Xenopus tropicalis: one gene and its partner. The protein of the gene in region 1 purifies or fractionates together with the protein of each later gene. This does not show direct contact. Links are inferred from orthologs where the notes say so. Each region holds a gene or a part of one and is shown on either strand. Other genes may lie near its edges.

Region 1 (3,658 bases):
GACAGACCCAAGCTCCCAGCAGCAACAGATCCCAGCCTCTGGAACACAGATGCCCTCTATACCCTTTCAGCCTTCGACAATGCTTGTAGCACAACCTGGTACCCAGACTTCCTTTCCAATATCACAGCCCTGCAACAGTCAACCTGGACTGCCCCTTGAGTCCTCAAAGCCCAGTATGGAGGGTGCCCCTGGAGCACCCATTGGCAATACCATTCAGGTGATTTAAACTAGAACTTTAAACTTAGAAATAAAAAAAATAAAAAAACATTTATGAGCTTCTTACTAGCTGTTTGTTGACTGCTACACAGTGTTTGGAATGCTCTTTGTATATATGTGTAGCTAAATATAGTTTGTATTTGTGTACTACAGGCTATTCATACTCTACCAGCTGAAAAAATTGTCAAGAATCCAATTCCTGGAGAACACCTGATTCTAAAGACTACATTTGAGGCTCTTATCCAAAGATGCTTGTGTTCTGCAAATGACCCGGTATATAACATAAGATTGAATGTAGGGCAAAAACCATATGTTTAGATCAAATTTGATGTTAAATCATATTTTCTGGCCTGACTGACAAATCTCTGTATTTCTACAATTCTATCTTAACGGAACGGTCAACCATTCCATTAAGGCCAAAGAAAAGACAATGACTATACTATTAATGGGGATGTAAAGGCAAAAAATAAAATTACATTTTCACTTTTTATACTTCAAAAGAAACCTATACTTGGTACACTGTAAGTGGATTGCAAATGTTGAAATGAAAGATCCCAGTAGGGGTTGGATTAAGTTTTTGTCACTTAGCTGCTCCTTAAAGGGATTAAGATATGGGGAAAAAAATGTTGTTTTTGTTTTGTTTTGTTTTTTTCCAAAATGCAGCCTATTGTGCTGTCACTGCCCTGCTTTAGAGTAATAGCGCTCCTGGTAGAAAACTGTCCAACAGTAACTTCCAAGAACAATTACTTCAGGTCCTAAATAAATGATACAGTGAGAGACAGAGGGTACTGTCAACACAAATATATTAAATGCAGTAAGAGTCAGTAAAAACCTTAGTTTCCCGAAGCCTGGAGAAGTTTTTAACATTGTATAGATCAAAATGAATCCAGATATCATTTGCATTGATAAAAATGCTCCCAGATAAGAGAATAGCACCCAAGAAGAAATTAAAGGACACAAGCTAAGTCAGTTGAACAGATTGGGAAAAACATTGAGTAGGAGAAACAGCAGCTTATCTTAGTTGCAGTGCTGGCTATTTCTGAAAGCAGGGGGTCAGGCACAGTGACCTGATATGGCTGCCTATGCACCAACATTACAACTACTGGTCAAGAATAACATTTTAAATGATAGCATTAAATATTTGCAATGTACACTGTGTAGTAATAAAAACTACTCCATAAAAATAACTGAATCTCTTTAAATACTATAGTGTGTTTAGATTTTACACTGTAAAAAAATAGTTGAAAGAAAAATGGTTTCATTTTTTTTTTTTTTTTTTTTACCAGCAAACCAAGCGGAAGCTAGATGATGCAAATAAACGCCTAGAATATCTTTATGATAAACTGCGAGAGCAAACGGTAAGTGTGTATAAGCATGCCATATTGTTGTACTCCCCTAACAGAAATTAGCTGCTGACTAATTTCATAGGCATTATTTTCAAAGAAGAGGTTGAAGCTTAGCAGACCTTTATACAATAAACACTATTCCCAGCAGGATGTTTGACCAAAAATCATTTGCATATGATATATTAAAATAATACTATGCACTTATCCTTCTGCACATTTGCAGAGATTGACAGTGGAATGTAAAAATTACACAGAGAACAGCCATCTTTCCAATGCCACAGTGCATTGCCAGACTATCCATAATTATATTTTGTTTTCATTTTTAGGTATTAGCTGTGTAACCTCTGGCATCTATTAGAGGGTGAAATGACTAATGTAGCCTGTGTCTATGGACCACACTTTGCACAACTCTTTCCCCATTTCTTTCTCATTTTAGCATTCGTAATTTAATATCTTGAATCCAGTTGACAAAGTAGCTGTCACTGCTGCTTTGCCATAAGCTGGATTTTTGTGTAAAACTGAAATTCATAAGAGCACTCTGCAATTACACATTAATTGTGGTTGGTTAGATTAAAAAAACATGTGTAACCTTTCCTACTAGGTTTGTTGCTTTTTTTTCAGTTTCCAGATGGTCCACTTTCTAAGTAGGGAAAAACTTTATAAAAAAGCTCATTGCTGAGTTTAGACACCCTTTTCCAAAACCAGTCACCTTCACCTTGATAATGATTGTTAATTATACTTCTCTCACGCCCCTGTACATTATTTGTTTTTAATAACTAAGTTAATATTCTGTGCAGAAACATTAACTAAAGGCAAAATTATTAAAAATATTCAGCAACAGTTTTAGGAGTTTATTACGTGTTTGAGACTGAAACTAGTGGGTAATAATTTGTAAAAGAAAGATGATAATGATGTAAGGATTTTACAACGGGGACAGAACTGGAACTGGACTTTCAAATGTTAAAATATGTTCCCATATGGTTGCAATATGTATGTATGTATGTATAACTTTATTTATAAAGTGCCACAAGGGTACGCAGCGCTGTACAGTCTTACAGAATACAAAATTACACACAGGGAGGACAAGTGATATAATATATATATATATATGTATACATATATGTATTTAAGTGCCATGTGGTATGAGACACAGTAGGAAGGAGGTCCCTGCCCCGTAGAGCTTACAATCTGAGTCAGAATGGGCACATTTAATAAAAAAATGAATGTGTAATTATTTTTTTATTTGAATGATTTGTGTGGTTTTTTTTTTTTTGTTTTGTTTTTTCCTGACAAGTCCTAGTTTTCAATTAAAGAAATGGTTAATGAAACTATATTTAAAACGCCTGAGAGGAAGCACTATGGTAACTCAAAACATACTGAAGCTGAAATGTGTGTTTAATATAATTTTAAAATATTCTTTAATTCTGTGTTACAATGTTTGATCTGTTTTTTTTTTTAAGAAATGTTTTGTGATTTTCTTTGTCATCATGCACAATATGCAGTTTAAAGGAGACGGAAAGGCTAAATCACTGGGCATGTCACTGCCCAGTGATTGTAATTTGTTACCTAAAAAACCCTGCCCGGTGCTCCTGTTAGGAGACAACTGTACCGGCTGGGGTGTATGCCAGCCAGCGATTCTTCTTTCTGCTTCGGTCTTGGCAAATGTGTAGTAGAGAGCCAACTTTAACAAAAAGGCTGGCTTTTTCACTCAACTGTGCATCCATAGGCCCTGGGATTCTAAAGAAAGAAGACAGAAGGAAGAGGAACACACTACCATATACCCCAGGCCGGTAGAGTTTTACCCTAACAGGAGCACCAGCCAGGGGTATCAGGTAAGTGATAACAATCACAGGGGGTTCCCTAAAATTTGATTTAGCCTTTCCTTCTCCTTTAATATCAAGTTTAAGTAATGCTACAGATACAGTACAACTTAGTCTTATGTTCTAACTCTATCTTGCTACTTGCTTTTTTCAGCTTTCCCCTGCAATAATTGCAGGATTGCACAACATTGCCAGAAGTATTGAATCTCGGAACTACACAGAAGGACTAAACATACACACCCACATTGTGAGCACCAGTAACTTTAGTGAAACATC
Region 2 (3,658 bases), on another chromosome or scaffold:
AATCATTTTTAAAAATTAGAATTATTTGCTTATAATGGAGTCTATGGGAGATGGCCTTTCCGTAATTCAGAACTTTCTGGATAATGGATTTCTGTATAAGGGATCCAATACCTGTAATAGCAACCCTGCAGCGGCAACAAGGTGAATGTCCTGTAACGGCCCAGTCAGACCTCTCATCTCGATCCAACTGAGAATCTTTAGCACCATTTTAAAACTAAAGGCCATACTAGTAATTCAGCTGTAATCTGATAATAAAGTACATTAAATCTTTATTTTTATGTGGCAGATGGAGAATTTTATCCAGTATTTAAATGAACCAACAGTCAATGCACAGATTTTCCCTCACGTCGTACATGGTTTTATGGATACCAACCCTGCTATTCGGGAGCAGACAGTAAAGGTAAGTAATGTGCAACATGGCCATGCATAACAGACACCCACTCTTTATCTCTAAGGTTTATTCTTGGTAGGTTCTGGGGAAAACCCTGCCATTCAGTTTAGATGCAAAAGCCACTTTGATGATTGCTAACTGAGCAAGTGCGGCTAATTCCAGATATATCATGGCCAGGAAGGATTGGTTCCAGTAGGAAGTGACTGCAGACAGACAAGGAAGTGCTGTGATTCTCCCTAAGTGTGCAGCAGGGGTCAGAAAGCCCAGGCCCAGGAATGAGAGGAAATAGTGTTTATAATACGTAGGGTCGAATAGTTTGAATGCAGTCAACGAGTATACATTGTTGCCAAAAGCTTAATAATATTCTATTCTCTCCCTTCAGTCCATGTTGCTCTTGGCCCCGAAGCTAAATGAGAATAACCTCAATATGGAGCTAATGAAGCATTTTGCCAGACTCCAGGCACGTGATGATCAGGGACCAATCCGCTGTAACACAACTGTCTGTCTTGGGAAGATTGCGCCATATTTAAATCCTGCTGTAAGTGTTTATGTGTAAGCTGTGTGTGCATATTGCTACTGGGTACATGTTCTAAATATACATCTATCATTACTGGGATACACTGTCCTTAAAATCCAGGAAGCTTGTTGCCATGAAAGAAGTGCAAGCACATGTGCTCAGTGCAAGCTTTCCCTTTTTGCAGACACGTCAGAGGGTTCTGATTTCAGCCTTCAGCCGAGCCACCAAGGACCCGTTTTCGCCATCGCGGGCAGCAGGTGTTCTTGGTTTTGCTGCTACACACAACTTTTATTCCTTGACTGACTGTGCTGGAAAGGTTCTGCCAGTTCTTTGTGGGGTCACTGTGGATCCAGAGAAAAATGTCAGAGAGCAGGTGAGGCATCAGAATTTATATCAGCCCTAGCGATATTACAGAGTAGGGCTCAGCTTTGTGTTGGTTGTAATGTCAGTGACCAATCACTACATCCCATGACTTGGGCATTTATTCATCTCAGGCTTTCAAAGCAATCCGCAGCTTTTTGGATAAACTGGAGACAGTATCAGAGGATCCATCGCAGCTGGCAGAGCTGGGTAAGTGCCATATTTATCTCACTTTTAATCTACAGATCTGTTTGTGTGTAAATAATGGTGCTCTGTCATGGACTCAGATTCCATAAACCACAGCAGTGACTTCTGCCTCTGCTTTTATACATAAAGTGATGCTAGCATCGCCCAGGTTTGTTATCCCTGCACCCTTGTCTCGTGCCTGTGGCCATGCTTGTACAGTCGGTACGTAACCAGTGCTACCCATTGCCTTATGCAGTGTCTCATCTCTCAGTGCAGCTGTCTTGTGCTGGTGCCCATACTCTCACAGGTGGTCACAAGTAACTGCACACAGTGCCACTACTGACCTGACAAACTACCCCTCTATCGCTGATTAGCCAGTGGGCAGAAAGCAATTGGCATTTTGTGTGCAAACAGACAATACAATCCTGAATGTAGTGCATCTCTTCATCAACCAAACCTACCCCCACGAGCCGCAGCCACCAAAAGCCAGGGTTTACCTTGAAATCGGACACAAGAATAGAAGGAATATATGAGAGATGTGGACTTTGTACAAAGCAAGAATCTCCATCTGTCTGTCTCTCTCTCCAGAAACTTGGTGCTGCTTTTCAGAAGTTGACTACCAATATGAATCTTCCTCTGATATAAATATAATTACTTTTTAATTTCTGCAGAGAAGGATGTACACACAGCTTCCGTAAGCCCAAGTGTTGTGGGAGGCTGGGCTGGCTGGGCCGTCACTGGCGTTTCTTCCTTGACCTCCAAGTTCATCCGCACAGGTGGTGGAGCCCAGGATGCAGCTGCTTCAGAAGGGGCATCGGCACCTTCAACTGCCTCAGAAGCAAGCAAACCAGGTGCAGATAATCTAAAGTACCAACCTAATACACAGACAGGAGATGCACTGCATTACATGTAGGGCATTTAAGGGCAACTGTACCTTAGAAAATGAATTCATTCAAACTTACCTAGGGTGCTTTTTTGTGCACTTTTGCAGTTTATGCTTTTTTAAAATTATTTTTAATGGTTTCTGAGATTTTAGACTGCTAATAGCAGGCTTCCAACTTAGTGGCTCTCTTTGAAGTTCACAGTGCTAGTGACATTGACTATCTATGAACTTTGCTTTCCTGCATTTGTTTAATCCTAGGGTTGCTGAATTTCATTTTACAGAGCTTATCTGTTATGTTATTTTTACCTGTGCCACTTGGCCCTGTTTCAACTTGATTTTTTGTACTGTACTGATTTTAATGCTTTTTATGCATTTGTATTTGTACTTAGAAGTGGATATATAATTATATGGGAAAGAGCGCCTGTATCAGTAGTTTCCCTCCTTGCGGTGGAAGTACAACCACCTATGAAAATAGTAGCTGTCATATGACATGTACATGATTTTCCACCATTTATTATTTATGTGCATAATGTTATGTGACAGAAATGACATCACTAAGAACCGTTTTTAATTCACAGGATATTTATAGCTCTTGCATTATAATATTATGACCCTCTGCTTCCATATTACCTTGGCTGGTCTTGTTAGGAACCACCTGTTAACACTATTTTTTCATTGTGTTTTTTATAAGATACTGCTCCTTCATCATCTGCTCCCCCTGCTGCTGCATCAACTGCCCCAACCAGTTATGAACCTGAAGAAGAAAAAGGTGCTCCGGATAATTCCTTAGATCGATGGGATGATGAAGATTGGGGCAGCCTAGAGGTGGGGTAGAAAATATTGGTATTGAAACATAGGAACACTGACCCCCAACCCTGAGTGATGGGCTGGAATAGTATACTCCCCAATGTATATAGTATGCCTGTTTTCCTTGCAGGATGCCGAACAGAACAGGGGTCAGACTGAGAATGACGACTGGGACACAGACTGGGGCCACGGGAAAACACAGGAGAAAACTGTAAGTGGCTGATACTAAATGTGACTCTGCTTCTCTTACAGCCTTGCAGGCACTTTGTGCAGGGTTAGTTCATGCTGTTTGTACATTTCTGTGCAACGTATACTCTATTTTTACTTATTTGTCCTGTTACTCCAGGTTGACTTTTCTTCCTCAAGGTCCAAAACAAAGCAGGTTTCACCCCCTCCTAACAGAACTTCTGCTCTTGATGATGGCTGGGGATGGGATGATGCATTCCAGACTGTTCCTCCCTCTAAGGAACACACAGCATCTAAATCCCAACAGCTGGAAGGTACTCGGCCTGCT

Evidence for each region. Proteins that work in one complex are often made in the same cells at the same time.
Region 2: the proteins of sec31a (region 1) and scyl1 purify together in Homo sapiens (affinity purification with mass spectrometry; 3 studies listed by BioGRID and IntAct, counting the BioPlex papers as one, with this or other methods). This does not show direct contact. The link is inferred for Xenopus tropicalis from reciprocal best matches to the Homo sapiens genes SEC31A and SCYL1.

The regions. Positions count from the first base shown.
Region 1 is NC_030677.2:85,402,352-85,406,009, forward strand, and holds part of sec31a (protein transport protein Sec31A), read left to right. Parts: coding exon 1-217; intron 218-369; coding exon 370-489; intron 490-1,502; coding exon 1,503-1,574; intron 1,575-3,536; coding exon 3,537-3,658. UniProt on the Homo sapiens protein: Component of the coat protein complex II (COPII) which promotes the formation of transport vesicles from the endoplasmic reticulum (ER).
Region 2 is NC_030680.2:33,680,386-33,684,043, reverse strand, and holds part of scyl1 (N-terminal kinase-like protein), read left to right. Parts: intron 1-286; coding exon 287-400; intron 401-773; coding exon 774-929; intron 930-1,092; coding exon 1,093-1,281; intron 1,282-1,402; coding exon 1,403-1,478; intron 1,479-2,125; coding exon 2,126-2,305; intron 2,306-3,028; coding exon 3,029-3,162; intron 3,163-3,274; coding exon 3,275-3,355; intron 3,356-3,490; coding exon 3,491-3,658. UniProt on the Homo sapiens protein: Regulates COPI-mediated retrograde protein traffic at the interface between the Golgi apparatus and the endoplasmic reticulum. Involved in the maintenance of the Golgi apparatus morphology.